Linked DNA regions of Coturnix japonica. The protein of the gene in region 6 interacts with the protein of the main gene of each other region in a pairwise test. Links are inferred from orthologs where the notes say so. Each region holds a gene or a part of one and is shown on either strand. Other genes may lie near its edges.

Region 1 (4,103 bases), on a different chromosome or scaffold from region 6:
TTTGGTTTCCATTTGACTTAGCCTGGCTTCAAGGCACCATGCAAAGTTCAGTGTTCACAGTGTCTTGCAGTAGGAATCAAGGTGATTCTGTTCCCCCCAGTTAATCTAACTAATAAATCGCTTAAAATTGAGTTCAACGTATTAGATCTGAACTTGGATCTCCTCTATAGGTGATACATAGGTGATATATAGGTGATATATAGGTGATATTAGGGGTACTGCCTCATTTGGGCTATTGCATAGAAGTTTCATTAGTACCAACGTGATGGATTGTGAGCACAAACTGGGTGTTTACAATTGGACGGTGTCAAATTGGAAGCAGAAAACATAAAGCACGTTGTTCAAAGCTCATGTGAGAACCCAGCTGGCAGCACAGCTCCTGGGTTTTCTATTGCTTTGTGTGGGCGGTTCTGCTCTGCTGGGAAGTCAGGGCGTGTGAAATACGTGCCATTAATGGAACGGAGTGGAAGAGTTATATTGTTAGCTCCAGGAGATGGCACTGTGTCCTGTGTGGGCTTCAGATGATATACATCGCCTTGAAATCTACATTCAGAGCCAATGAAAACCTGGGGGGGTTCTGCTCTTGTTATGAAATGCGTTTCATGGTAGACCTCAATTCGTGTCCAACTGCCCTAAATATGGCATTCAATCGCTCGTATCTTTGCAAATAAATTAGATGTAAGTGCACCTTCTGCCATTGTGCAGTGCTTTGTGTTTCGTGCTGCAATCACAGGGCTTCCCTGCGAGCTGCTTTATGGCCATTCCATTGATAGGAGCAGCAATGTACACTTGGCATGATTAACTCCGTAATGTAAGCACTCGGGTTTCTCAGATGGCTTCAGAGTTGGCTGCCCGTGTGTTGAGAGATGTCAATTAGTAACAGTGTATCTGAAACAACAAAATCCCAGTGGACATGGTGACATTGTTCGATTGGGAAGGAGGCACTTTGTCCCTGAACTTTACATGTGGCGTTTGAAACAACCCAAAGCAGTTTTTATTTGCGCAGCCAACTCGGCATTGCTGATAGCGACGGGCTGACCAGAAGGGAAATGGGTGAGGCCTTCACATCCTGTGCTGTATCTCCCCTGCTGCTTTTCTAACAGGCTGAAGCTCTCGTTGTGCTGTTGTAGTGCGGCCGGCACAGCCCCATGTACCCGCGGTCCCCCCGTCCCATCACACCCCCCGTGTCGGGCCGTTTAAATCCGCCCCATTGGCGGCTGTTGCCGCCCTCCCTCCTTCCTGCCGCGCCGTGATGTCAGCCGCTCCCCCGCCGGGGCCGCCGGCTCCATCCAGGCCGGCCGCCTCCCGCCCGCCCCCAGCCGCACCGCGGGGCCCCGCGGCCGCCGAGCGCTGCCCCGAACCCAGCGGGAGCCGCGGCGGACGGGGAGGAGGCGGGAGCCGCGTTCGGCAGCCGGGGGAGGAAGCGGCAGAAAAAAAAGCCTTTGTGTCGGAAATCGGCGTCGCGTGTCTCCCGCTTTGGCCGGGCTGAGAGCAGCGAGCTCGGCTCGGTTGGTCTTTTCGCCGCCCCGGGCATGTCTTGACATAGCAGAGAGAGGCCGCCGCTTTCGCGCACTTCCGACGGATGTCTTTGAACGTGCGACGGGCGCTTCGGGTTTGAGACTTTGTAGAGCTCCGTGCGTGTGCCAAATTCACATGATCGCGGGTTGAACGAGGAAGAACGGCAAGAAAGGAGCCGTTGTGCCGCCGATCTCCGCCGGGTCCGCCCCGCCCGGACGGTCTCGGGGCTGCGCGGGGAGACGAAGGCGATCGATCCGAGCGGCCGCCCCGCACTGCGCGGCACTGAGCGCTTCTCGGCCGGCAGCTCCGCACCGACACACGGGAATATGCTGATGAAGGAGTACCGGATCTGCATGCCGCTCACCGTGGAGGAGGTAAGCTGCGCTCGGCTGATCCCTGGCTCTATCTCTACCCGGGATGTTGGGGTCGGCTTCGCTGCGGGCGTTCGTTCGTCCTTCATTTGTGTGACAAACTTGGGCTGCCCGGAGCGGCATCTCTGCGGTGCGGGATGAAGGGGATGAAGGGTCCTGCGGCAGCGGAGCTGAGTGGAGCGTGTCAGGAGCGTTAGTGCCCGGCCATCAGCTGCAAAGCTCCAGCAACACAACGTGTGAGCTGTTTCGAGGGAGCGCTGTGCGGTCACATCCCGACCTGCGGGAGGTTTATCCGAAGTCTGCGTGCTAAATACATCCTCACCTTTGCTTAAAATAACCTTGCGGGTGGCAGTCGCGCAGGTGGGGTGTCATCTGTTGACAAAACTTTTTGAGTTTGGATTATGTTTTGCTTTTTGTTTTGGTCACGGTTGGGAGTCACAAACTGCTTTATCTCCGTGTTCTGAATTCACGTTCGGAACGTTGCGTTTGATTTATAACGCGGGGCAGCCCGCAGGGTGCCCACAGCCGCCAGGGGACGCTGTGCCCGCAGGTGCTGGAGCCTCTCGCTCTAAAGAACATTCCCAGTTTGCAAAGGGACTCGTGCTGCTTCGGGTCTCTTTGACGTGGAATCTTGCAAGTATTAAATCCAGGAACTGCAGGTGAGATGGCCTTGTGAGGGACATGGGGTGTGTCTGACACATGGCATGAATTTCGTTATTAGTTGTACAAATAAACTATGACAAAACTTTGAAACTTTCATGCTTTTTCTTTTTGGCATTGTTTGCCCATCAAGCATTTCCTATGAGGTGCTGTTCACTGCTGACTGAACTGCTTTTGTATTCTGAGCTAGGAGGCAGAAACAGCTTTGTTCCTCTTCCCTAAGCACCAACATGGTTGTTCCAAGAGCCCCTGCAGAGGTGCTGGGACACTGGGCTGTAGTTCCCATTCAATTCTGAGGCTCATTCATTAAAGGGAGCTTTTATTGACAGTTTTTTAAAGTCTGTTACATATATATTGTTGCAGGTTCCCAGCTTAGCCTTGAAATAATTTTGTGAAAGGAAATATTATGTGAACTTCCAAACAAAATGACAAAACTACTGGAAGAACTGTGCAGGTTAGGTCAGAACATTGCTGTTGGTTGAATAACCCAGCAATGCTGCCAATTGGAAGTCACTCTGTACTTCAGTTGTGGTACTACTGGATTGCGTGCATGCAAATTCACTCCTTTTGTTAAAACTGAGACCTTGCAGATTACAAAAAGCCATTTCTTTTCAGTCATATGTAAAGCAAATGAAATCTATTGCAGTAATTGCTTGGGACGTGTTGCCAAACTTCAGCCCAGTTGCAATTAATGAATGAGGCTGCTTCTTGATGAATATTTTTCCTCTTGCATTTTCATTTATTAGTTCATTCTTACAAATAGTTACATCATATGAGTGAATATCATAAGGGTGTGCATTATGTTGGCTTTATTAAGCATCATCTGATGAAAACATGTTCCGTAGCAAGTGAAAGGAGCACCAAGTCATCGAGAGTAGCAAAGGTGCTAAAAAATTGTCCAACTCTTTCTCATTGCAAGTCATAATTGCGTAATTCCTCATAGGAAGGATCATATGGTTGTGTGCCATAGAGGTGCCTTTGTGTGAGATCTGCCAGGTTGGCATGTTAGTGAGCTTCTTTTGGGGGAGGTGAAGCACGGTGCAGTTGATTTATGTGGAAAGTGATATTCCTTAGGGGGAGGAGGAGGAAACCATTTCTGCTGGATCATGTTGGAAGAGGAGCTGTCTGCTGTAAAATGCTAATAAAGACGTGATGCTGGGATGCACATATTTTGAAGCTGAATGCAAATTACAGTAATGGTCTTTTTATTTTTATTTTCCCATTAGAATGGGATGGGTTAGTTCTGATCTCTGTGTTTATAGGTAGTATCTAAACAAATGAAAACCAACCAAACAAAACCAGGATTTCTTTCCTTTGTTCTTTATCTCGAGCAAGATTATCTCTGCTGAAGTTGGTGGAATCGTGCCCATTGGATGCTGTAAAGACAAGCTCAGTGAGTTCTGTGGGCAGTGCTGCCTGAATGAGCCGTGCAGGAGCAGCTGTGCTGTCGGAGTGCAAACAAGCAGAGACCTGCAAAGTGTTCTTCAATGGGGATTGTGATTTACACCGAAGATCCTTTTAGCACTGGGAAATGGTGGCCTGAGGGGTGCTGCG
Region 2 (4,164 bases), on a different chromosome or scaffold from region 6:
GCAGCCCTACCAGCACTCTGCACCTGCTGGGTCCTCTCCTTATTTTTCTCACCTACTTTCCTCTACTCTGGGATATTCCCAGGACAGACAGGGTTAAGCAGCACTTTCAGGCTCTGCAGCACTGCCCTTTGTCCACAGATGTGGGGCAGAGGAAAAAAAAAACAAAACAACAGATCACCCTGAGATCAAATTTTGCCCATTTGTTATGGGATCAATGCTCTGCAAAGCCTTTGTGCTAACTGCAACCTAGAACTTGCTTTCCTGCCCATGAGAAACAAGATTAACATGGGGTTACTTCCACTGCCAAGTGGGGTTCTGCCTCCTGGCTGGCACAAGTCGAGCTGTTGCCCTTGGGTGCAGCTGAGCTGAGAGCAGAGCAGCACAGCCTGACCCTTTCCACACTCCTTGTTAGCAATAGTAGCACAGCTCCGCTCTGTTCAGGCAGCCACTTCCCACAGCTTAGTACAGCAGTTCACACTGCGGCTCTGAGGGCTGCCCCAGAAGGAGGGAGGATATAATCAAACAAGCAGAAAAGAGAATTGTCTTTTGTTTCAGAACTCCTGGGCTGGGCACATATAAAGGCCAGGAGATGAAAGCAAGCTCCACAGAAGAAAAGCCTTTGATAAGAGCTGAAAAAGCTCTCCCTAATCCACAGATGAGTGTTTTTAGGGAGGCAATAAAAAGCACTGCAGTTCCTGCCATTCACTCTGGAAATGGTGAGCTGTCAGCATGTTGCTGTGGAGCAGTTTTAGCAAAGCCCCTTCCATACCTCGCACTGTCAGAGCAGGAAACCACAAACTGCAGGGTATCACTGGAGACTGCAATGCTCACACCTCCCTATAGCCAGGGCACCTCCAGTTCCAGTGGAAGCAGAGCTCATCTCTATGGTGACGCTCCACATTTCCCCACCAGCTGCGCAGAGAAACAAGTGAGCTCCCTCGGTCAGCCGGGGTCAGGTGAGCCTGGGGGTCAGCGAGCAAAGCCGACCTGCTTGTGCAAGAGCACTTTCACCGGGGTCACCTGGAGCGCAGCAGGCTCTGAGCTGTGCTGTGCTGGGAGCTGCTCAAGGCTTTCATAGACCGCGACCCTCCTGGGACACAACCCAAAGGAACCGTTACCAACCGGGTAGAAAAACACATTTGGTCTCACATGTTCCCTCAGCACGGGGCAGACAAAACAAAAAGCAGAAAGAAAAGTGGAGAATGTTCAATTGAAATCCAGACCCTCCAGCTGATACAGTGTGATCCATGTGATTTCCTGCCCTCCTGAGCTGCATGCACAGCCCTGCACTGCTGCCAGTGAAGGTGAGACACCCACAGCGGGCAGAACAGAACTGCCCGATTCCTCCCAGGCCTGTGGGGGCCCTGAGGGGGGGGGGGAACCTCACAGGGGTCAGATCCCCACAGCCCATGTATGAGGGCTGGTTTTCAATATGAGAAGGAGCTGAAAAGCTCTTCATGCGAGTCCCAGAAATTCCCCCGCACAGAAAAGCTCCGGGGCCTCATCCTCACTCCTTAACACACAGATCCCAACCCAGCAGACGGATCACAGCCGGCCCAGAAAGCGCTCCCACCCAGCAGGCACCCATCAAACCTTATAAAGCAGTCTGGATCAGCCCCAGGAGCTGCGTGTGATTAACCCTAGCCAAGGTTTTACAGCCGCTGACATAAGATAACCAGATTCATTTCTCATCTTTTCCCATCTCTGCAGGAATCACCACTCAGGGCGGTGTGAGCTCACTGCACCGCGCACGTGGATCGGAACCGACCCAACTGCAGAGCTCGGACCTGGGGAAGCTCCGGGCCGCCACGTGCAGCTCCTCATTCGTGCAGATCTGACACGGCCACCTTCCCAGAGCAACGAGTTCTGGGTCTTTTGTATAAAGCAACTGCAAGGAGAGTGGTGAGCCGGCACTGCTCGGCGCTGCCTTCACCTCTTCTTTGCTCTTTAACGCAGCGCAGTTGGCTGCGAGGTTAATCACCGTTTGATTACTTTGTGTTTGTTGACTTTAGTCAGAGGGATGGTGAGTGTTCACAGAGTGCTCGGGTTTCAATTCCAGCAGACCGGCTGTGCTGTCCCGTGTGAGCCTTTCCCTCCTGCGCTGGTTCTGCCCAAAGCACAAGTACCGCTCAGTGCTAAGAGCAGAATTTCAGGCGTCTTCACGTTACTAGAAAGTTTATTCTCAATACTCGGTGCGAGTCACGGTTCCTGCCACCCAGCTTCACCCGGAACGCTGGGCTGGAGTCCAACCTGCAATCAGCGTTCTGTGCTGCTGCCCTCCTGATCCTCTTTAGAACAGATGTTGAGACGGTACCTCCCCATCACAGCGCAGCTGAAAAGAATTACCTGCATGCGAACCCTGCTACTTCTTAGAAGTCGCGCCTCCGGGTAGGATTAGAGGCAGAATTTCAACTAATCCTTCCAAGCATCTCCGAAGCCAATTGCTTTCCCGTCGCCGTTTTTCCCAGGAGCTCGTTTCAAAAGGCAGCGTTAAACAAAAGCAAGAGCCGACCAGCTGCAGAGCTCGGAGCCACGGCCCCGCCGGCCCCGCACCGCCCTGCCCAACAGCCTCTGCACGGCCCCGCAGTCCCCCCGTCCCCTCCATCCCCCTCACCTTGCACCCGGCCCCCGGTAGCTCCCCCCCTCCCCCCCACCTCCCAGCCCCGTCCGTACCGCGCACGCAGGAGGAGCAGCCCGCGGCGGGGCAGAGCTGCGAGCAGCGCGGCTGGAGCCATGTGTGCGGTGATGGCAGAACCGGGGGGGCCGGGCCACCTTCCCGCTCCGCTCCGTACGCGGCTCCGGTGGGGGCGGTGCGTGGCACGGTTCGGCCCGGCCTCCTCAGCCCCGGTTTGGCCTCGCCTGGCCCCGGGGAGGGCAGGGCTTGGCTTGGCCGGCCTCGCCCCGCAACACCCCGGCCCCGGAGGAAGGAGTGGGGGTGGGAGCTGGGACCCCTACTCACCGCCCCCCACCACTGCCAGGTAGAGCAGGTTGCAAAGAATCTTCTCTGCGTGAGGTATCCCATTAGAGCAATGGGGGACGGGGATGCTGCGTGTCCCAGGGCACGGCCGTGGCTTCCCGGGATCCCTCCTTTCCTTCCCGGCCACTGGCTCGCTGCTGACAGCACTGAACCCCGCCGCCCTGCTCGCTTCCCTTCCCAGCTCCCTGCCCTGCAGCAATGTCCCTCTGCTCAATCCCAGCCTCAAGCACTACGCTGCAGCCGCCCTGAACCCTACAAGCAAACCCAGTGCCTTGGCTGACACGGACTTTGCTACAAGGACTGAAATTGACAAGGCAACCAGCGCTGCTTGCTTCTGGTTTTCTGCATCTGTCAGAGCTCTATGAGTCATTAATTGATTTCAAGCCTTATTCACATGAGTTATCACAGTTACCACTTCACTAACAGCTTTCAGCACTCCCTGGCTGTCTGTGCCCCACCACATGCAAACAGAGCAGTGAGGAGATGCAGAGCTGGGCACGCCAAGGGAAGGGGGAGGCAGCACCCAGAGGAGCCCTGCAGCACACGGCAGCACTGACACAGGCGCAGAAGGGCTGGCGTGCATGGCATTCCTTGTAGCAAATGACTGATGGACTCTGGGCACTGCTGGGAGCCGGGGTATAAATGTGGTACCAGAAGGTAACCTGTGTCTCAAACATCACACGGCCATTAACCAGGCGGTGCCACCAGCAGTGGGCTGAGAGGTGGCCTGATTCTCACCCAGCCACTGACCTGCAGGACGATCACTAGCAGTTCATTTTGCAACCCCTCTGCCCAGATGGGCACCAGAGTTCAGCAATGGGAGATGCACAACAGATCTTATGAACAAGGGCATCAACACTGGCTGCAGAGAATCTCAGAAATCAAAGCTATAAAATATGCTCACAGCACAACCTCATCATGAAATGCTGATTGCAACCAGAGGAAAACAAAAATCAGTGTCCGTGATAAAAACAAACAAACAACAAAGAGGTGTAAGACCTCCTGTCCCCAGCACAGATCTGCCCTCTGAACAAGTAAGTGCACATATGTCACAATGCGTGTTTGGGCTCAGAAACTCAAAGCTTGTCCTCACCATAATCCCGTTACTGGGGAGCTCTGATTTGGTTCTATCTCAGGAAAAACTCTTCCACCGACTTTTCTGGCCGTGGGTCACCCGGGACAAGAAC
Region 3 (4,159 bases), on a different chromosome or scaffold from region 6:
AATCAAAGCACCAAGGATGATAACAGGGGTTGCTCTCAGGGGTAAGAGCAGCGAGGAACAGCCCCACACTAAGTACAGTGCTGCCACACAGAGGGCTCTCTGACCTATGCAGGCACAGTAATAAAGGGTCACGATACACCCAAGCTGCTTACCATAGGCAAAAATCAGGTCCATCAGGACACTAAGGCTGAGCTCTGAGTGCTTCTGAATCAGGTGGTACGACATGGCACGGAGCAGAGGGACGCTGCGCCGGTTCTGATATGCCAGAGCCAGAGTGATTTTCCTTATGTCCTCAGGGCTGAACTGCTCAGCAAGCTCCAGAGCCTGGTAACATGAAAAACATTGAAGACATAAAGGCACAAAGGAAAATACAGACACTCTGTATAGATCAGGATGTGCCATCCCCCAGGACATCGCTGGCTGAGCCCCTCCAAGGACTGCAGGGTTTCCATACACCTTAACACTGTCATGTAACAACTGATGCAGGAAAGGCTGCTGAATCACAACCCTGCTTCCCATTGGAACTCCTGTTTCCATTTGACAACAGCTGTAGTTCCAGCTCTGCATAAGCTGACAACACCACATTCAGTGTCTGCAGCAATATTTTATCCCCAGGGTTGAGGAAGAACAACAGTGGGGCCCATGAGCTGCAGGGATTGTTGCTGTGGCAGCTGTTTGGCCGGTCCCCAGCGCTGGGCTGGATAAGGACCGAATTTGACTCAGCTGCAGTCATGGTTCTTATGGCAGTTTCAACCCAACAGACATTTCCCTGCTCCTGGTAGTGTTAAAAAGAGGGACCTGCTGGAGAACAGACCTCCCTGCAGACTCCTTGCTCACAGCTTGACTTTCACAGAGAGCCAGAGGACAATGCTTTTGGCAGTGCTGTTATGCTGCCGCTGCAAGTTACCGCCTGGAGCTGAGCTAAGGTAATTCTACCACAGAGCTAAGGTAATTCTAGCTGCGAGGCAAAGCACATCAGCCCAGTGCATCTCTGAGCAGCTCAGACCAACGCAGCCCATGTGTGAGCTCCCCATGTGTGAGAGGGAAATGTTCCTTCAGGTGATGTCCCAACCGAAGGGAACGGAGCACCCAAGCCCATACCTTGTCCTCTAACCGGTCCATCAGCACTGATGAGATATGGCCAACCTTAGCAATCAGCATCACCACGGTTCGGGTGCCCTCCAGCTCCGTCCATCTCAGCTCCAGCTTCTTGACGATCTCATTGAGCAGTTTGCTCTCCTTGTCCTGTCTGACAGCTAAGAACTCAGCCAAGGAGGCGAGCTGACGGAAGGTGAGACGCCGCAACCTCCACAGCACCTCGTGCTCCACAGACTGCATCTCCCTGCTGCTGCTCTCCATCCCCAGCGAGTACAGGCTCTTCAGGAGGCCCACCAAGGTGTTATTCCACACCTGAGATATCTGAAAGGCAAGTGAAAATAGTTAAGTAGATATTTACCCTTGTCTGGAGGTGTGTGTATCTAAATTCCCTTTGTGGTGTGGCTGGAATATGAGCTCAGTGAGCAGTGAAACAAGAGGCAGAATCACAGCCAACGATGCTCAGGGCAGGATGGACCAGGTGGCATCCAGCAAACAGACTCTTTAACTTGCCCTGACTGCCCCAATTCCAGCACTGGGGTCACTCTCCTTGCTCTGGGGTGCACTCTACTGAACCACAAACACCTGCACCCTTTACTTGTGTGCGACCTGAAGCTGATACATCTCTAGGTGGCAGCTATGACAATACACAAGGGAAAGAGAAAGGCTGCAACTCGCTGCTGTCCCACACCCATTTGTTCTCCAACCTCCAGCACAAGGAAGGAGCTCACCTGAGAATCCACGATCTCAATAAGCTGCTGAAATCGTTCATCTCGCACAATGTCCCTCGTTTCCAGCTTCTTTTCCACCGCAAGCCTGGAAAGTCGTGTAACCACCAGCGAAGCTTGGTTGCTATTAAGAGAGTGAAGTTCACCCAGCTGGAAGAGCTCCTGAGGACTCACGGCTGCCTCGATGAGGTTCAGCATGGCTCTGTGCTCCGAGTTACTGTTTTCTTCCACCTGTTCTTTGACAGAGAATCTGTCCGCACTCCAGGTGACGGGGACGGAGGTGTGGATGGAGGTTAGAGGTGTATGTGGCAGAGCTCTGGCTGCTGGCACCTTCCCATTAGGCAGCAATAGAGCGGCCGGGGCGGCAGCAGGAGCACAAGTGAAGGTGGTGAGGTGCCTCCAGCAGCAGCGCTGCACCAGCCGGGCTGCCATGGTGGGGATTTAAAGGGTTCAAAGCCGCATCTTGGGGGATGCTGGAGGAGGAAAAGAAAGGCTTTAAGAACGGGAATATCAGGGGGGGAAAGAGGAGAGCAAACAGGTTTAAAAGGGAATGACAAAAGCACTATGAGCGCTCCCATAGAACAGAACTGAAAGGGGCAGCCCCACATATCACTTTAATTAGGAGATGGCCCCAAGGTCACAATGTCCAGCCATTATAACTCAGCGCGGCGGCTCCTATCGCTGAACACTGAATAACACCCCATAGAAACCCACTACAACACGAACCCTGGGCCTACCCGCCCCGTGGGCCGAACCGGCCCCAGCTCCCGGCCCGACGGGCTGGACCGGACCCTCAGCGGCTCCCGAGGCCTCAACCCTTTGTAAACCCCATTGTGGGCCTGTATAGAGCCCGAACCCCGATACCGAACCCCCCGTGTCACCGAACCGGTTCCGTCCACTCTGACCTCACCCGGCCCCACCGCACGCTGGCCCGGTAATGAGACGAAGTGCGCATGAGCGCCGGCGCAGCTTGATGACATCATCACGCACAGCTGCTTCCTATTGGCTGAGTTCCTTGAGAGAATCGAGCGGGAAAGAGGAAACGCTTCCGGTTCGGCTCTGAGGGGGAGCCGCCATTTTGTGAGGGGGGTTGTATAGAGGGGACGGGTCCAGGATTATCAGATTTAGGCAGGTCACAGCCCCGGGCCCGGCTGTGGGAACGGGGGGAAGCAAACAGAGGCTGGGGCGGTGCTTTGGCAACACTTGGCTGAAGGCAAATAAAAGGAGATTGATGTTCTGGGTACGTCCCACCCCAGGGCTGTTTGTTCAGCTGAGGAATGACAAAGGGAACAGCTGTAAATGTAAAGAGAAGACATTGAGGTTCGGCATCAGGGCGGTGTCACAGCCTTGGAGCCCTCATCACTGAGCTGGATGTGGTTATGGGGCTGTAGGAGGTGATGTGTGACCATAGAAATCACAGAATTATCAAGGTTGGAAAAGACCTAGAAGATCATCTAGTCCAACCGTTACCAATACTTCCCAGCTAAATCATATTCATCAACACAACATCCAGAAGGATGGTGGAACATAGGTGGGCTGTAAGAGCCCTTCCAAGCATTGAGGGGAGGCCTTAGTGCTCCCTGAAAGGAGACCGAGCTGTGGTGGGGGGGTAGGCTTCTATTCACAGGTAACAGTGATAGGATGAGAGGGAATGGCCTTAGGTTGTGCCAGGGGAGGTTCAGGTCGGATATAGGGCACAACTCAGAGCTGTGATGCATTGGCACAGCTGCCCAGGGAGGTGGTGGGGTCACTAACCCTGGAGGTGTTCAGAACCATGGGGATGTGGCACTGAGTGCTGTGGGCATGGTGGGATGGGCTGGGGTTGGAGCTGGGGGTTTCGGGGGTCTTTTACAGCCTTAGTGATTGTGTGATTTGTGATCTTTGTAAGGGCTCATTCCTGATACAGGTAGCAGCTGTAAGTGCTCATTCTTGCTATGAATAGCAGCTGTGAAGCAAGAGACCGTGCTGCAACCTCTGTGGGAACCTGACCCTTTGCTGAACCATCTCTCAATAAAACATTGAAGAGAATTCCCCGTGTTGGGCCATGACTGGCTTCCAGCCACCTTTCTTGTGAGAACACGGTGATGTTGAGCTTGGAAATGACCCCAGGCTGCTATGAGGCGTCCCTTCAGTCTCAATGCTGAACAAACCCACTGCCCTCAGCTGCTCCTCACCAATCCAGCCCTCCAGCCCCCGACTCCATATCCTGCAGCACAGCTGGGGGTGTAGATACAGCCCAATGTGGGATGAGGCCCCACATCCCATGGGCACAGCCACGTCCCCACCACAGCTCTCCCCCCACAGATAACGGCCGCGTTGTGGCTGCTCCCCCTGAG
Region 4 (4,081 bases), on a different chromosome or scaffold from region 6:
GGGCTCCGCTCGATGGCCGACAGCACGCTGATGGTTCCCGTTCCTAAAGCAGCCCCCGGGCCGGAGAGAAAGAAGGGCGAAGAGGAAGCGTGCGTTAGGAGCGGGGCTGTGGGGTGGAGGTCAGCCCCACAACGCTGCCACCGCGCTCGGGGCAGGGGCCGAGCCGCTTCTCTCTGCCCTTTCTTCCATTTTCTGCGAGTTAGGTGCAAACCCTCCGGCTGCGGGCGAGCTGCCAACGCGCTGCTCCTCGGCCGAACAAAATGTCCCCGGCTGCGGAGCGCGGACCCCCGGCCCTGGGACGGCCCAACCCTCCCCCCAACCGGGGCGGTGCCACCCATCCCGAGCGGGTCCGGCTGGTCGCTACCCGGGTGGCAGAGCCCGGGACCGGCAGCCCCCGCCCCGCCGCGCTTCCTGCCCGCCCCTCCCTCCGCCGTCGGGCCGGGCGCAGGGGAGGGGGCTGCGGGCGCTTCCTGCCACCGCCCCCGCGGGGCAGCGCCGGGCGGAGCGGAGCGGGGCGGGGAGCGGCGGCGGCCCAACCCCCAGCCGAGCGGCGCTTCCCGGGGCGAGCGGAACTTCCCGGCGCTTTGCGATCCTTACGGCGTTTTGTTGGTTTTTTTTTTTTTCCCTTTTCTTCCTATTTTTTTGTTTTCATTTGAATATTTTCATTTGCGTTTCGTTCTCGTTTTCTTTCTTTCTTTCTCTTTTTTCAATCTCATTTTCTCCTTTCCTTTCTTATTCCGTTTCCATTCCTCTCTCCATCTATATCCCATCTCCTCCATTCCCTTCCCATCCTCTCTTCCCTCCCCGCTCACGGTCGCGGACACCCCGGGGCGGAGCCGCCGCCGCCGTCTCCGAGCGGCCGCCAGGGAGGGGCGGGTGCCCGCAGTGCCGCCGCTCCGGGGATGGGCTCCGCCGCTTAGCACGGCCCGCACGGCCCGGCCGCAGCATGGCCGCGGAGCTGAGCGCCGAGGAGGAGCAGGTACGTGCCGGCCGAGCTGCGAGCACCGGGCGGCGGACGGCTTTGCTCCCCCCTGCATCCACGCAGCCTCCGTCTGCCCCTTATCCGCTCCATCCGCACGCCCCCCCACCCATCCCCGTTCCTTTCCGTTACGCATCCCCTCTGCTTCATCATCTCCATCCCCGGCTCTCCCGCAGGCTCTACCCCGCCGCCGTAACGGAGCCGCCGCCCCCCTTGGTGCCCGTGGGGCTGTGCGGGGCTGTGTGCACGCTCTTCCCACGCCCCGCACCTCCCGTGACGTCCCGGCTTCCTCCCCGGCCGTGCGTCACCGCGGGAGGATGTTGCTGGGCTCGGGAGCGGGGCTGGCAGCCCAGCATCGCCCTGGGATGTGCGGGTGGGAAGGGGGGCTGTCCCACAGCTCGGGGATCTGGGACGCAGCAGTGACGCAGGGCTTTGCTTCCTTTCCTCTGCCCGCTTTATCTCTAGAAGGTGGGCAGGTACATCACATTTCGGGGCGCATCTGGTGCTGGCCCATCTGACATCGCTTTGGGTCGAGCCAAGTGCCAGCCTTGTTCTGCCACCTAGTTCTTCCCCCCCATTAAATTGCCTTTGGGGAGTCCGGGGGATGCTAATAGGAATGTCCTTGTGTCCTGCAGGCCACCAAGCAGTTCCTGGAAGAGATCAACAAGTGGACGGGCCAGTACAATGTGTCCCCGCTCTCCTGGAACGTGGCCGTCAAGTTCCTCATGGCCCGCAAGTTCGACGTCCTACGGGCCATTGAGCTCTTCCACTCCTACCGCGTATGTCAAGGGGGTTTGTGGGCTCACACATCCCTGTGTGTCATACTGGGGGTCACACTGTGTTCCCACTGCAGGAGACGCGGCTCAAGGAGGGCATCGTGAAGCTGAAGCCTCACGAAGAGCCGCTGCGTTCAGAGCTGCTCAGTGGGAAGTTCACCATCCTGGTAGGTGCATGGGGTGGCAGTGCACAGTGTGGTGCTGCCTACAGTCATGCCATGACCTTGCTTTCCTCCTGCAGAGCGTTCGGGACCCTTCAGGGGCATCCATTGCCCTGTTCACGGCCAAGCTGCACCACCCCAGCCGCAGTGTGCAGCATGTGGTGCTCCAGGCGCTCTTCTACCTGCTGGACAGGGCCGTGGAGAGGTGAGCTCTGTGTTCTGCCACTGCCTTGTGTTCTGGATGCTGCTTTGTTGTTGCTCGCAGCCCAAGCTCTGTTAGTTCAAGTAGCCTATAAGCAGCAGCTCGCCCTATGTTTGCATGCCAAGGATTGATGACAGCCCGTTTAGAAGCCTTCCAGGCATGGCAAAAATCAGTGGCATCCTTAAGGCGTCCGCATGTGCCTCGTGTTACTGTGCCGGGGATCTCCGGCCCTTGGAAAGCCCCGGCCGTGGGAGCCCTGCTGGAACACTGAGCCCAGTCACCCCGTTCCTATGGCTGGGCTTTGTCTGTGGGCTGACACCATGTACCTGGGATGGGCTCAGGGTGGGGGAGAGGCAGCTTCGGGCTCTTCATCTCACTGGGAACACAGAGGAGACTCTTCTGGGGTCACTGAGGGTGCGTCCATGATCTTGGAGTGGTGCTGCTTTTTCCCCCTGCCCAGTTTCGAGACACAGAGGAATGGGCTGGTGTTCATCTACGACATGGCGGGCTCGCAATACACCAACTTCGAGCTGGACCTCAGCAAAAAGATCCTCAACCTGCTGAAGGTAACGACGGCAGGGATGGGATGGGGCAGGATGATGGGATGGGGGGGGATGCAGGAGGTTGGGTGCCATCCACAGCCCCTCGGGGGGAGGCTCAGGCACTGGGAGGGGATCAGCTGTCCCCACGCGCTGGATTCCTCACACAGCTGCTGGCAGCTCTTTCATGAAAACAGATGCAAATTATTTTTTAATGGTGCTGGCATTTCGTGCCTCCTCCCTTCTCCGGAAAAATAGCTCCCAGTAAATAGCAGCTGGGGCTCAAAGCCCTGCTCCCGCCCTCACCGCTGCCTCATCAAGCCCAGCCCTCTGCTGGCCACATGGAAATCGATGTGGACTGGAGCATGGACTGTGCTGGGAGCTGCTTTGCTCCAGGACCCTGCGGTTGTCATTGCTGTGGGGCCACGCTGGGTGTGGGTTAGTCCTGCAGCGTGGAGCCGAGCCGTCCCTGAGCCCTCGCTGTCCACAGGGCGCTTTCCCAGCGAGGCTGAAGAAGGTGTTCATCGTGGGAGCACCCATGTGGTTCCGCGTGCCCTACTCCATCATCAGCCTGCTGCTGAAGGAGAAGCTGCGTGAGAGGGTGAGTGTGGGGGCTGCAGGCTCCTGGGGGCTGGCAGCTTTAAAAGGGAAAGAAAACGAGCCACGTGGGAGAAGATAAACTTGGTTGCTGCTTGGAACAATATGCCCGAAGATCTCTGCTGCTTGAGCTGAGGAGAGCCCTCCTGCCGGCTGAGCTGAGTGCCCATGCCTGTCCTCTGCAGGTGCAGATGGTGAAGATGTCGGAGCTGAAGGAGCATTTGCCCCGCGAGTGCCTTCCCGAGACCCTCGGCGGCTGCCTCAAGCTGGACCCGCTCAGCTGGAACTGCCGCTTCCTACCGCAGCAGAACGGGCACCCCGACCCCTTGGATGAGCTTATCCTGGTGCCACTGGTGACCCCTCGTGACAACGGCTCGCTCCACGTGCCCGGCCCCAAGGCTCTCACCCCGCAGGAGCTGCTGGAGCACGTCAGCCGCAAGCAGAAGCGCGGTATCTATGAGGAGTATGAGGACATCCGGCGCCGGAGCCCGGCCGGGACCTTCGTCTGCTCCTTGTGAGTTGAATGGGGTGGGAGGGGCAGCGGGAAACTGGTGCACGCTGCTCCCGGGACTGCAGCCAGGTGATGGCAGCAGAGCCCCGGGCATTGCCTTGGGATGCCCTGCTGCCCTGCCCTGTCTCTGCCCCAGGGCGCCCTACAACCAGGAGAAGAACCGTTATGGGGACGTGCCCTGCTTGGACCAGACCCGCGTGAAGCTGGCCAGGCCCTATAGCCGCCCTGAGGTGAGCCCCCATTGCATTCCACCAGCCCATCCCTGACGCCCAGTATCTGGGTTCTCACTCGCTTTGCTTGCTTGGAGCTGAGCCCA
Region 5 (4,118 bases), on a different chromosome or scaffold from region 6:
TCCGCCCTGCCAAAGCTCTCGAGCCAGAGGTTTTCCACCAGTCCTTCAGGAGGAGCGGCCAGAAGAACTTTGTCCTCCATTTCCACCACTGGGAAGAGGCCGATGCTCAGCTCAACCTGATCGTGTTTGACATCCAGCCTCAGCTCCCGGGAGGCCACGAGCGGGCGGATGACCGTCCCCAGCAGGCTGCCGATGGCCGGCCAGTTGATGGAGGCCACCAACATCTTGTGTAGGGTCTCGTTGAGCACATTGGAGGAGAGGTACTGGCCCACGAGAAACCTGTCCCAGGGGCTGCGCCCACGAGGGAAATACTCCAAGTCAGTCCTTTTGATCATCCAGTACTGGGGGTTTCTCACAACGGTGTCCTCGCCTGGGATGAGGCTCCAGAGAGTGGCATCCAGGACTACTGGCAGCATGAAGTGGATGTGGTCAGCAGCAAGAGCTCCGAGGCCATCGAGCAGGGGACCGCTGAGGAAGAGGCTGCCAAAGGGCAGCTCTGGGCACTTGTTCTGTAAGAAGCTCTGAAGCTCAGCACAAATGCTCCGGGCCAGCTGATGGGCAACTGCCACTTGCTCCTCAGACATAGGGAGGTGGATGCTGTAGTGTGACAGCAGTTTCTCCTGCAGTGTGAGACAGCAGGGAGTGCTGGACTCGACTTGAGGAAGCTCTGGGGGCGCTGGGCAGACCCTGGGTTCTGCAATAAGGGGATGGGGCAAAGGCAAGGAAAAAGTCATGGATCAGCCAACACATCTTCTCATGCCACAGCCATAAAGAAAGAAAGCATGTGCTGAAGTCCCAGCTCTCAGCCTTTGGCCACAAAGCTGATGTTGCCAGGAGAGGCACAGAATAACAGCACTTTCCAGCCAACACAGGGCTTAATCCAAACCCCAAACCCAACAGCACCCAGCTAGAGGTGGCTAAGCCCAGCTAAACAGCAGCAGCCAGACAAAGCACAAACCACCAGGCTCCTTCACAAGGCTCAGCCCCACTGCTCACCCCTACCCTAACAGCTCCTTGATTGCTGAGTCCTGAATCAATCCCACTCTGGGTGCAGTGCCTCAGGACCTGCCCAGCACCAGGCTGGGCTGCTTTCCTACTCAGAAAACACCGCCTTTGCAGCCAGCTGGACAAGCCAGCCTTTGTCTGCAGCAGTTCACAGGCACATCTTCCTCCCTAGACAGAGCTGACCCAAAAACCAAGCGCTGTTCAACAGGAAACAAAGGCAAGGCAGCCTCTACCAACCAACTGGCTGAGTTACCAGACCAACCAACCAGCAGTTATCAGAGGAGCTGCTACTGAGGCACTGCCAAAAAAGGGGCCGCAGCTTGGGAGCCTCCCAAGGGGGAAGACACAATCGGGTCAGCTTTCCGGTCACAGAGCTAAAAATAAAGCCCAGCTCCCATGCACAGGCACAGCCAGCCAAGGTGATCTTCACCCACACGCACCCACCATAAGCATCAGCTGGTGCTGGTGGTGGAGCCGGGGAGAGCAGGGGTTTGCTCAGGTCTTCCCTTCTCTGCTTCTTGGGAGGTTTTGGTGTTGCCTTGATCAGAGCCAGGTCCTGCCAGCTCTCCTCCAGGCTCTTCTGCTCAGCTTTAGGATCATCTTCCTCTCGAGGGCTCGTGGCTCGATCTATCAGCTGGTGGGAGAGACACATGGAGGGGATGTGTGTGTGGTCCACAAAACCCTCACCTCACCCAGAGAACAAGCAGTGGGGGCTCCCCCATCCCAACTGCACTGAGAGCTACAGGCCCCAAATAGCCTTGTTCACATACGGGGATGCTCTACCTGCTGCTGCTCATGCAAACACAGAGAGATGCTACAGATGGCAGAGGGGGAGGAGACCCGAGATCAGCAGCCCCCTTTACAGAAGGCTGCTATTGCTGGGAGAGCAAAGAGACCCAGGGAGGATCCACAGGGAAAACCTGCACAGACACGTTGTTCAATCAGCAGCACATCCCACCCCAAAGCAGGGAGGGGACGGCACAGACAGGGTAACAGTCACACACAGCTCTTCTATGGCTCTGGGAGTCTCATAGATGCACGCAGGTTCCCGAAGACAACGAGGCACGTCTCTGGGACGCAAAGTGGCACATCACCCCCCCAGCCTCACCCGTTTGACGGCCAACGTGGCGATGGCGAGCACGGCCGCGCCGCTGACGCCCAGCACCAGCCTGGCGTTGGCCAGCAGCAGGTCCAGGACGCTGCCCAGCCCGCTGTCATCCCGCCGCTTGCCCCGCTGCTGCGAGAACTCAGCCATGGTCACCTGCGGGAAGGAGGAGGAAGGTGCGGTGCGATCTGACAGCGGGGAGCCGGCTCCGTAATGACACCCGGCGTGTAACGGCCATGGGGGGAAGGCGGGGAGCCCGGCGGGACGCGAGCTGCGGGGCAGCCGCCACCACGGCCGACCTTCAGGCCCACGGATCCCGCTGCTGCCGGCTGCGGTGGTGGCGCCGGGCCGGACCAAGGGTCACCCCATAAAGATCCGGCCGCCAACAGATGGGGACGGGACGAGGGGGCTGCAATGGCACCACGGAAGGGGCCGGCACAAAATCAGCCCCCTTCACCGAGCTGCCAAGGGCAAACAAAGGTAGGACAGCCAACCCCACTGACTGACGGTACTACCCGCGGTTATTTCCTTCTCCGAACCCCAACTCCGAGCCCATCTCACCCCCCACCCCATAGCCCCCCCCCACTTACCCCGCAGCTCCCAGCGGGGCGGACCAGCAGCCCGTGCTGGCGCGCCGGCGCGCCCGCAATTCGCAGCGCAGCCAATGAACGCAGCGCTCCTTGGCCCCGCCTCCAATCAGCGTCAGGGCGGGGCGGGGTGTTGGGGCGGTGGCGCGTCCCGCCGGGTTCCCCGCTGTCATGGCGGCCACCGGGGTGCTGCCCTTCGTCCGCGGCGTCGACCTGAGCGGTAACGACTTCAAGGTGCGGGGGCGGCACCTGCTGTAGGGGCGGTACCGGGTGTAGGGCGGTACCCGGTATGGGGCGGTACCCGGTGTGGGGCCGGGCGGGGTGGGGGGAGAGCCGGCGGAAGTGCCATGGATGGGAGGGACTGTCAGGCCTGTCCGCTCCCCGCCAGGCCCGGCCATCCCCGAGGTCCCCGCTTAGGGCCGGTCAGTCCCGGCCCTTGTTGTGACCCTGGCAGGCCCTGCTGTGTGAGCGGGGCTTTGGAAGGCCGGGAGGTGTCAGCCCACAGTCCTCATCCTGTAGGGCTGGGTGACCTCAGTCTGCAGATCCCAGTCCCATAAGGCTCCCGTCCTTAAATCCCATCCTTAAATCTCGTTCTCATGGGGCTGGGTGATCCCAGTCCCCAGCTCCATAATACTGGGTGATCTGTCCCTCAGCAGCCCCACAGCACCAGCCCTGTCTCTCCATTGTCACCCCACGGGTCATACAGTTTCTCTTACCTTCATGCCCACACAGGGTGGCTACTTCCCAGAGCATGTGAAGGCCATGACCAGCCTGCGCTGGCTGAAGCTGAACCACACAGGGCTCTGCTACCTGCCCGAGGAGCTGGCTGCCCTGCAGAAGCTGGTGAGCAAACAGGGGATGGGGCACTTGGGGGGGCTGCGCAGCCAAGAACCTGCTGCCTGCCTGCCTCGTGTGCCAGCGTCTAATAATAGGGGCTGAGTGAGGAAGTGTGGTTGAAATTGGATGCAGGAGTTGTTAGGAAAGGGGCTGAGGCTGATGTGTACTGGGTTTCACCTTGTTTTCTTAGAAAACCAGACCAGAAACCACACTCTCTTCCTCTGCCTGTTAATAGAAGGGAAGGGTGAAAGTTTATGGGGAGAATTAAAGGTTTGGGCTCTCTTAGCAAAAGCGAAAAAAGAAAAACAAGCAGCAGCCAGCAGCTGCCTGGAATTATTCCCTGGCAGCTCGAGTTCTGTGCGTAGCTGTTGGTGGAGCCCATGGCTGAGCTTTGCTCTGGTGGTTCCTACAGCATATTATGGACATGCTGGAGCCCCCCAGCCAGTTTGGGACCCCAACAGCCCAATATGGGTCAGGGCTGAGCTCTGCTCCCCTCACTACTCACTGGGGCTTTGTCCTGATTCCCCACAGGAGCACCTGTCCGTCAGCCACAACAGCCTTACCACGCTTCATGGCGAGCTGTC
Region 6 (4,028 bases):
ATTCCCCTTTACCCCCTTCCAACCTGCCTCGCTCCAATATTAACAGACCTGAAGTCATCTTCTAGGAACCTAAAGACCCAATCCTGCCATGCTACACCACTCTTTTCACTTCCAGGGACAACACTAGTGCCCAAATACTGTCACATTTATTGACTCAAAATGTCTACACCTGCTCTAACTTCACACAGAACTCGTGGCTTCAGGAAAGTTAATGACCCATGAAGCTGTGACGTGAGTGAAACCAGAAGGAGCGATGCAGCTGCAATGGCTTGGACTGTCCAGCCAAGATATCACAACATAGATATCTTATCATAAGGCAAAGCCCTGGTTGCACTGCAGCACCCTATCACATCTGCTGAGCATTCAGCACAGACCGCCTGAACATCAAACGCTGCTCAAACAGGTTTTTAATAATGACTATTTTTTTTAATTGCTCATGAAAGCCTACAAAATGCTCCAGCACCACCCGCTGCTTCCCCCTCCTCCCAGATTGCACCGCAGAGACCAGGCAGAAACTGCTAATCAGGAAAATACAAGATGTTCTTGGATAAGAACGGAGACATGCAAATAGCATTCACCCAAGAGACGATCACAACATCAGGGAAATTCTTAATTAGGTAGTATTTAATTGCACGTTATGCACTCACAAGACCCCTCAAGGCTCAGCAGTTAATATAATTACGCAGAGTGGGTTTTATTATATATATATATATATTAAGCTGTCTAGATCAATATTGCAGTTATTAAATTAAGAAGCTGGCTCCATCACCAGCATAACGTCAGGTAAGCAAGGGCTGGTAATCCAGGGGGCTGCTGGAAGAAAAACAAAGCATTTCCTTCCGAGCTATTAGTCTGAGTTATCTGACAGCTCTTCAGGGCACTATGGAATTGGCTGATGGTCTCGGTATGCTTTCACACAGAAAACGGAGTGTTAATGAAAAACATTATTTAAAGCTGCAGTCATTACGTGAGATAATTTGCAGGCAGCCTCCTGGTGAGACAGAAGAATTCATTCCCATCTGTTCAGGGGGATATATCCATACCTAAGAGCATACATTGCTTTTTTGAAGAGTTCTTTGGTACAGGAACTCATTCTGCCTGCCTGGAGGTATTCAGAACCCACCTGGATGCTTTCCTCTGCAGCCTCCTTTGGGGTGCTTGCTTTAGCAGGGGAGCAGCACTAGATAATCTCCAAAGTGGTTGCCAACTCTTTGAGTTGATCTACTTGATCTACTTTTCAAGTTAGCTTTGCTTTGAGCAGGAGGCTGGGCTAGGTGACATACGTAGGTCTCTTCCAATCAAAATGATGCTAGGATTCCAGAGCTAGCACATAAAAACACCCGAGAACAAAACATCTGATTTCAGGCATATTCATTGTAGGGCCTTTTCCAAGCTCAAGCAAACTTGATATTTCAAGATTCAGAATAGCTATTGCAACAATCCTAGCCATCAAACACTCACTGCAATAATAAGGTGATGCTGCTTTCCACACTTTGCTGAGCATTACTACCAGAGCTGAGCCAGTAGATGCTGCTCCATGAGTGAATTCTTCATCTACTGCAGGTCAAGGCCTGCCATATTAATGCTACAGTCCTACCTGCGGGTTAAAGAGGGACCTCAAGGCTGAGACTTTGCTACAATCTGGCACAAATGCTGCATTCACGCAGGTCTTTGGAAGTTTTCTTCTTCTGTCATTAGGTTTATCCATCTGATCACAGAGAAACTGTAACCAGTTAACGCCAATGCATAGAAGTAGTGTGTTATTCCCAATCCCTCTCTGAATGAGAACCTTGCCAACCTTTGGGTTGTGTTTCAGAGCAGTAGGCCACGACTCAGAGACAGCACAAAGATGCAGGACAATTATTAACTCACTGTGTTACAGCCCTTGAATCCCAGAACGCAGCATGGCTTAGGTTGGAGAGAACCTGAAAGATCTTTTGGATCCAATGCCCTGCCATGGGCAGGGCTGCTAATCACTAACTCAGGGCCCATCCAACATGACTCCAAGGATGGGGCATCCATAACTACTCTGGGTAACCCATTTCAGCACCACACCACCCTAACCAGTACTTTACAAAAGGTACTTCCCAATGCTGAGAACACTTTGGCCAGGTCAAAATCACTCTTACCCAGGAGGAGATTTAAGAATGCTTGCTAAAAAGCAGGGAGGAAATGCAACATTTTACTTATGTTGTCATGGTGACTCGTTCATTCATGAAGCATCTCTTTTCTTCTAGCTCCTGCAACCAAACTGCAAAGCTTTCAGCAACGCACCCAAAACCCCAACAGGGAAGCTGGGAAACAAGCAGCACATCACCCTAGAAGGCTCTGAAAGTATAACTAATGGAGGAAAAACAGGGGAAAGAGTCTAAAAGGCTTCAGTCTCACGAGCAACATGAAGAGCAAAGGGGGCCGATTTCAGCCTCTGTGTGAGGAGCTGCTTCCTCCTGAAGTTAACGGGTAACTTCCGAAGTCCTTTTATTTCCCGTTTCTCTACTAAACATCGCACAAAAGTTTACAGCCTCCCTCATTCCACGCCCTCCCCCCCTAGAAATTAAGTTAAAACACAGAACAGCAGTTTCTGTCGGTCTATACAAGCCCACAAAGCCGTCACCTTCCTGAGGTGAGTTCCCTGACCAGCACCAACTTCGCCTCCTCAGAAACCCATTAAGGATCACAGTTGGGGGATGGAGGGGGGAATTGGGAGGTAGAAGGCCGAGGGGGGGCCCACCTGGGCGACAACCCCTACTAAAAACCCCTCCACAAAAGGCAGAAACAGCCACTTCTCCCTCCACAAACACCCCCACGCCTCCACACAAGGCACCATACCAGCCTCAACGCCCACCCCCGTACTCTTTTCTCCCAGCCGACCCACCTCGCCCCACAACAGCTCAGCCCCACATAGGCTCTGCCCCATATCCCCCCCCGTACCTTGAGGCTGACGGCAGGCAGCTCCATGGCAGCGGCCCGCCCGCCCCGTGACTCCCACCGTGGGGCTGCTCCCCGGGGCCGCCCAAAGGAGGGAAGGAAGGCGGGAGCGGCCGGGACACCGCCTCCCTCAGCGCCCTGCCCCGGGGGTGGATCCCAACATGGAGGGGAACCTCGTTGGGGTTTTTGTCTCAGCTGTCAGGCTGTGAGGTGTTAGACGAGGAAGATATGGAGGATATGGAGTGTGTCCAGGGATGGGAATGGAGCTGTGTGTGGGAGCGCAGTGTTATGGGGAACAGCTGAGGGAAGGAGATGGGTCAGGCTGGGGGAGAGACCTCATTGCTCTCACAGCTCCTGAAAGGGGGTTGTGGCAAGGTGGGCTCAGCCCTTGAACTTTGTAACAGCAACAGTATGGCCTTAAGACACAGCAGGGGAGGTGCAGGTTGGGTATTAGGGACAATAAAGAAGGAGCAGCTGCCCAGGGAGCAATGGGGTCACCATCCATGGAGGTGTTCAGTGTGGAGATGTGGCACTGAGGGATGTGGGCATAGTGGGGTGGGTTGGGTTGGACTTGATCACAGAGCTCTTCCCCATCCTTAAGGAGCCTATGATTCAGAATTGGGACTCCTTCGCCTCTTGTTCTGAAGGCTTTTCCCATTTTAGAGCTGGGGAAGTTGTTAACTAAACGACCAACCCCAACCCACAGTGTACAGCTATGAATTCCTTTCCTGCCCTGTTTATAACAGCCATCTTCTTCCCACATACAGCAATAGGATAGCAGAACCAAGAAGTAAGGGTGACCCTCTCCAACCCTCCCTGCCCAGTATATGCATGACCCATTTGCAGAGCATGACATTTCACAGACAGATTATGACATTTTGCTGGGTTGGTTTCTTTATTGTAATTTACTTTTAAGACAGGGCCTCTAAGAATGAGAGAGGAGCCAGAAGTTCATTGCAGAAGCTGGATGTGGAAATGTGTGAGTCACCCTTCAGTCCCACATCCAGTTCAAGCAGTGCAGTGCAAGGTTATGTATAGGTTGTCTGCAGTAGGGGATCTGAACTCACACGTTCTCAACCAAGCCACAAACAGGCCTTGGA
Region 7 (4,115 bases), on a different chromosome or scaffold from region 6:
GGAGCACACTGCTGTGCTGTGCTGTGCTGTGCTGTGCTGTGCTGTGCTGTGCTGGGATGTGTGCGGGATGGAGCTGCGACTGAACCGCCCCTGAAGGGCTGTGCTGCTCTACTACAGCACGGCTGTGTCTGTGGAGCCTCACACTTGGTGGACAAATGTAAGCTGACGTGCAAAGTATTCGAAATAATGAGAATAGAACAGCTCTTTGGAGCAGCAGTTTTAATAAAGCTGGATGACACTAAGAACGCGATCATTCATACCAGAAAATGTCTCAGTAATGAAGATGGAAGATGTTAGAGAATGTTCTAACTACCTGGAGGAACAGTAAAAGTGTTGAACCCGAAATAGCCAGAACATCCCCCACGGGACGTGGAGAGGAACCCCACGTCAAACAGGGGACGTCGGAGTGATGGTGCTGAGGGGAGGAGACGTGGTGGTGTCAGCTGTGATAGCAGCGGGAGCTGTGGAGGAACATGGAGAGCTCTATTGGCCACATTGATCCTGTGCCATCAGCTGCACATCCAGGAGATGTTGGGGAGAGGTTTTAGTTTGGACATGACTTTTATCCGGAGCAGTCCGTCACACAGAGCGCGTCCCCGCCGAGCGCGGCTCCAATTCGTGCCGGGGCTTCACAGCGCCGAACCGAGACTGTGTTAATGCCGTCACACCGCGCAGCGACAGCCAGGCATGGCCGGGCAGGTGAGGGAGGCGCGGGGCCGGCGGGATGTGCAGGTAACACGGCGGGAGCACGAGCCGCTGTTTGTTCTGTACACACGTCACATCTGTGACAGCCCCGCGCTGTTTGCTATGGAGCTGAGGGAACCCAACTTCGTAAAGCTCCGAAGCTCCGTCCCCAAAGCTCAGCGCTCTGAAACCGCCCACGCTCTGGGCGCTGCCCCGTCCCGTCCCGTCCCGTCCCGCCGCGCGGTGCTGCCGCGGTCCCGTCTCGGTGCCGGCGTGTAGCGGAGGCCGGGGCGCTCCCATAGCAACAGAAGGGGCGGGGCCGGAGCGGCTTTCGTCGGGGCCACGTGACCGTTCGAACGGCCCAATCGCAAGTTTCTCGGCCGAGGGGGCGGGGGCTCCGCGGGGGCGGGCGGGCGCGGCGCCGCGCCTCTGTCGCCGATTGGCCGGAGCGCCCGCCCGCGGCCGCGCCGATTGGCCGCCGGTCCCGCCGCTCCGCGCGGAGCCCGCCCCCCGGGGAGCGCCGCGGCTCCGGGCCCGGCGGGAGGGCGACCCCGCGGCGCGGGGCGGGGCGGCGGCGGACACGCCCGATGGGGCGGGGCGGGGCGGGAGGGGCGGCGCGCTGCGGGGCGGGGCGGATCGGCTCGTCCTGTGGCTCGTCCGGCGCTGCTCACAGGGTGACACGTCTGCGGGGTGAGTGAGTGGCATTGGCAGGCTGTCAATCCCTCACCGGAGCGGCCATCAAACAACATAAAGCACACACAGTCACCGGGCGGCCGCGCTCATAAATCCCCGCCGGCTGATATTTTTGCACGTTGCTTCGCACACAGTGTGTAATTAATTTTTTTACAGTTCTTTCCCCTCGATTTCCGCTCTTTTCTTTGCGCGAGTTCAAACTTTGCTCCTCGCCGTCCCCCCGCTCACCCGGGATGGTTGGTGATTTTTGGGGGGAGGGCATTAATTTTGCTCGTGTTTTGGTGCCGTTTTGATGTGTCGGTCCGGGGCCGCTCGGCTCGTTGTGCTTTTTGCTCTTTGCCCTCCCAACTTCTGCGGGATCTGAATAATCCAACTTTGGGCATTTTGTCATTTTTTATTTTTTTTTTACTTTTTTTTTTTTTTTTTATTTTGTTGCCTTTTCGCATAGAAGATTCTTTGGACAAAGTGGGGAAAAGACATAGAAAGCAACAATAAAAACAATAATAGCAGAGGATAACAATCATACTACTGCTCATAATAAAACGCTGTGGAGGAAGATCGCTCCGGGGACAGGCAGCGGCCCGGCACAGACATGGTGCTGACGGGAGAAGACTGTAACTAAAGAAGAGTGATTTACCGCGCCGGGGAGAACAGCGCGTTTCCAGCCGCCGCCGCTCCCGGCACCGCCGCTCCTTCGGCCGCCGTTTCCTTTTGGTGTTTTTGCCTTTTTTTTTCGCCTCTCGCCGTCGCGGAGCGGCGGGGCCGAGCCGGGGCGCTCAGTGCCCCCGCGGCGCGGGGCCATGGACGAGCAGTCCCGCATGCTGCAGACCCTGGCGGGCGTCAACCTGGCGGGGCACTCGGTGCAGGGGGGCATGGCCCTGCCGCCTCCACACGGACACGACGGGGCCGACGGCGACGGCAGGAAGCAGGACATCGGGGACATCCTGCACCAGATCATGACCATCACCGACCAAAGCCTGGACGAGGCGCAAGCAAAGTTGGTGTCGTCTCGTTACGCCTTGTCTGTCGGCGCGCGTGGGGCGCGCAGCTCCGGCCCGGGAACGCGGCCGGGACAGAACTTCTGGCGCCGGAGGAACCGCCGGGCGAGCGGGGCGCGGCCGGAGCGCCGCTGAACGCCGCTTAACGCCGCTGAACGCCTCGAGCCGAGCGATAAACGCGGCAGCGGGAGGTGCTCGAGCCGGCCCCGTCCCGTGTCCGTGTGTCCGCGGGCCCCGGGCCGGGCCGCAACTTTCCGCGGCGCTGCCCCGTGCCCGGCGCGGCGGGAGATGGATGGCGGCGCCGAGCAGACACCGCCGCGGGGGGAGAGAGCGGCGGCCGTCCTAAATCACCGCCCTGCGAAACAAAGCGCGGCCCGGCCCGGGCCGCTCCGCAATAAATCAGCCCCGGACGGCGCTGATTTACGCCGCGCGCAGCGGGGCCCGGGCCCGGCCCGGCGCTGAGAGGCGCCGCCGCGGTGTGGCACGGAGCAACGGCCCCGCTCGGGCCCGCTCCTGGTGCGGGCCGGGGCCGGTTTCGGGGCCGGTTTCGGGGCCCGATGCCGGGCTCTGCGGGCGGCCTGGCGGCGCGGCGCGGCGGGCGCCATGTTCGCGTCGGGCGCTAACGCTGTGTGTGCTCTCTTGCAGGAAGCACGCGCTGAACTGCCACAGGATGAAGCCCGCGCTCTTCAGCGTCCTCTGCGAGATCAAGGAGAAAACAGGTAAGGGCCGGCCCGCGCCGCAGCCATCTTGAGCCCTCCTCCGCCGCGCCTCGGCGCTGCCGCCCGCTGCTCGGCCGCGGCCCTCCGCCGCCTCCGGGATGCGCCCGGCCCTGCCCTGCCCTGCCCGCGGTACCGGCGCACAGCGGCACCCGGCAGCGCCCGGCCCGGGCCCGGATCCGCCGCGTGCAGCGCCGGCAGCGCCGCGAGGGAAGCGCTGGAGAGGGACGGGCAGCGCCGAAGTGACGGATGCGGCCGCGCGTGCAGAGCGGCTCCGGCTCCGGCTCCGGCTCCGCGTTGGCAGCTGCGGGCGGCGGGGTTTGAAACACTGAAATGATGGTCACAACAACGTTATTTTCCGTGCAACATTAATGAGACGGGAAGGAATGTCGCGTTTGTCTCGAAGGCGTTTGAAGGGATTTTTGCAAATTTCTTACATCGCTGAATTTACAGAGATTTTTTCTTTTTTTAAAATAAGACAATTTTGAAAAATATCGTACTCTTCATTGTGACAATAAGGACTTTTTTGACTTTTTTTTTTCTTTTTTCTTTTTTCCTAATCTGGCCTTAAAACTGAACACCTGCACTCGTTTGCTTTTTAGCTGTATTTGGTGCTCCATTGCAGCCCTCTTAGTTGCAAGCTGAAAATCTGGGGTTATAGAGGTTAGCAGCCGCCTCGTGCACGCAGCAGAGCCCAGCTGAGCTGCCCGGTGCGCGGCTGTCGGTGCAGTTGGTGCGTGTTGTGCACGGGCTCCTGTGCCGCCGGGTCCCGCTTCAGCTCTGCTGACGGCTGAGAGCTGGATATCGGCTGCGCTGCAAATATTAAGATTGATTCCACGTTACACTGCGTGACATTACCTCAGATAAGGAGCGCGATCCTCTCTGCCTCCCCCCTGCCTGCGCGGTGTCCCTCCATCCGCGGCTCCTGTTTGTTTTCCTGCCCTGAACTTTGTGCCCGTGCAGCGGTGCCGGCAGCGGCCCCTGCTTGTGCTGAGCCGGAGCGGCCGTGGGTCCTGGGTCCTGT

The links.
Region 1: the proteins of AGTRAP (region 6) and PITPNC1 interact in binary tests that used the Homo sapiens proteins (3 or more experiments, as listed by UniProt). The two-hybrid records come from large-scale screens. The link is inferred for Coturnix japonica from reciprocal best matches to the Homo sapiens genes AGTRAP and PITPNC1.
Region 2: the proteins of AGTRAP (region 6) and ACSF2 interact in binary tests that used the Homo sapiens proteins (3 or more experiments, as listed by UniProt). The two-hybrid records come from large-scale screens. The link is inferred for Coturnix japonica from reciprocal best matches to the Homo sapiens genes AGTRAP and ACSF2.
Region 3: the proteins of AGTRAP (region 6) and TBRG4 interact in binary tests that used the Homo sapiens proteins (3 or more experiments, as listed by UniProt). The two-hybrid records come from large-scale screens. The link is inferred for Coturnix japonica from reciprocal best matches to the Homo sapiens genes AGTRAP and TBRG4.
Region 4: the proteins of AGTRAP (region 6) and PTPN9 interact in binary tests that used the Homo sapiens proteins (3 or more experiments, as listed by UniProt). The two-hybrid records come from large-scale screens. The link is inferred for Coturnix japonica from reciprocal best matches to the Homo sapiens genes AGTRAP and PTPN9.
Region 5: the proteins of AGTRAP (region 6) and MIEF2 interact in binary tests that used the Homo sapiens proteins (3 or more experiments, as listed by UniProt). The two-hybrid records come from large-scale screens. The link is inferred for Coturnix japonica from reciprocal best matches to the Homo sapiens genes AGTRAP and MIEF2.
Region 7: the proteins of AGTRAP (region 6) and PBX3 interact in a two-hybrid assay, tested with the Homo sapiens proteins (4 studies listed by BioGRID). The two-hybrid records come from large-scale screens. The link is inferred for Coturnix japonica from reciprocal best matches to the Homo sapiens genes AGTRAP and PBX3.

Annotation. Positions count from the first base shown.
Region 1 is NC_029533.1:7,047,882-7,051,984, forward strand, and holds the start of PITPNC1 (cytoplasmic phosphatidylinositol transfer protein 1), read left to right. Parts: upstream 1-1,303; 5' UTR 1,304-1,844; coding exon 1,845-1,892; intron 1,893-2,554; exon of another isoform or gene 2,555-4,103.
Region 2 is NC_029533.1:9,091,188-9,095,351, forward strand, and holds the start of ACSF2 (medium-chain acyl-CoA ligase ACSF2, mitochondrial), read right to left. Parts: upstream 2,801-4,164; 5' UTR 2,736-2,800; coding exon 2,674-2,735; intron 1-2,673. UniProt on the Homo sapiens protein: Acyl-CoA synthases catalyze the initial reaction in fatty acid metabolism, by forming a thioester with CoA. Has some preference toward medium-chain substrates. Plays a role in adipocyte differentiation.
Region 3 is NC_029517.1:3,562,580-3,566,738, reverse strand, and holds the start of TBRG4 (FAST kinase domain-containing protein 4), read right to left. Parts: upstream 2,801-4,159; 5' UTR 2,729-2,800; intron 2,297-2,728; 5' UTR 2,256-2,296; coding exon 1,827-2,255; intron 1,420-1,826; coding exon 1,102-1,419; intron 729-1,101; exon of another isoform or gene 587-728; intron 325-586; coding exon 153-324; intron 1-152. UniProt on the Homo sapiens protein: Plays a role in processing of mitochondrial RNA precursors and in stabilization of a subset of mature mitochondrial RNA species, such as MT-CO1, MT-CO2, MT-CYB, MT-CO3, MT-ND3, MT-ND5 and MT-ATP8/6. May play a role in cell cycle progression.
Region 4 is NC_029525.1:1,988,089-1,992,169, reverse strand, and holds the start of PTPN9 (tyrosine-protein phosphatase non-receptor type 9), read left to right. Parts: upstream 1-1,281; 5' UTR 1,282-1,296; coding exon 1,297-1,455; intron 1,456-1,614; coding exon 1,615-1,758; intron 1,759-1,832; coding exon 1,833-1,922; intron 1,923-1,996; coding exon 1,997-2,121; intron 2,122-2,578; coding exon 2,579-2,684; intron 2,685-3,147; coding exon 3,148-3,258; intron 3,259-3,439; coding exon 3,440-3,768; intron 3,769-3,901; coding exon 3,902-3,995; intron 3,996-4,081. UniProt on the Homo sapiens protein: Protein-tyrosine phosphatase that could participate in the transfer of hydrophobic ligands or in functions of the Golgi apparatus.
Region 5 is NC_029529.1:5,099,115-5,103,232, reverse strand, and holds the start of MIEF2 (mitochondrial dynamics protein MID49), read right to left. Parts: upstream 2,801-4,118; 5' UTR 2,701-2,800; intron 2,267-2,700; 5' UTR 2,261-2,266; coding exon 2,114-2,260; intron 1,640-2,113; coding exon 1,450-1,639; intron 695-1,449; coding exon 1-694. Other genes in the region: FLII (protein flightless-1 homolog), read left to right, coding at 2,869-2,931, 3,430-3,540, 4,066-4,118. UniProt on the Homo sapiens protein: Mitochondrial outer membrane protein involved in the regulation of mitochondrial organization.
Region 6 is NC_029536.1:4,903,981-4,908,008, forward strand, and holds the start of AGTRAP (type-1 angiotensin II receptor-associated protein), read right to left. Parts: upstream 2,801-4,028; 5' UTR 1,709-2,800; coding exon 1,598-1,708; intron 1,324-1,597; exon of another isoform or gene 1,124-1,323; intron 1-1,123. UniProt on the Homo sapiens protein: Appears to be a negative regulator of type-1 angiotensin II receptor-mediated signaling by regulating receptor internalization as well as mechanism of receptor desensitization such as phosphorylation.
Region 7 is NC_029532.1:8,212,710-8,216,824, forward strand, and holds the start of PBX3 (pre-B-cell leukemia transcription factor 3), read left to right. Parts: upstream 1-1,315; 5' UTR 1,316-2,177; coding exon 2,178-2,374; intron 2,375-2,411; exon of another isoform or gene 2,412-2,566; intron 2,567-2,593; exon of another isoform or gene 2,594-2,891; intron 2,892-3,020; coding exon 3,021-3,094; intron 3,095-4,115. UniProt on the Homo sapiens protein: Transcriptional activator that binds the sequence 5'-ATCAATCAA-3'.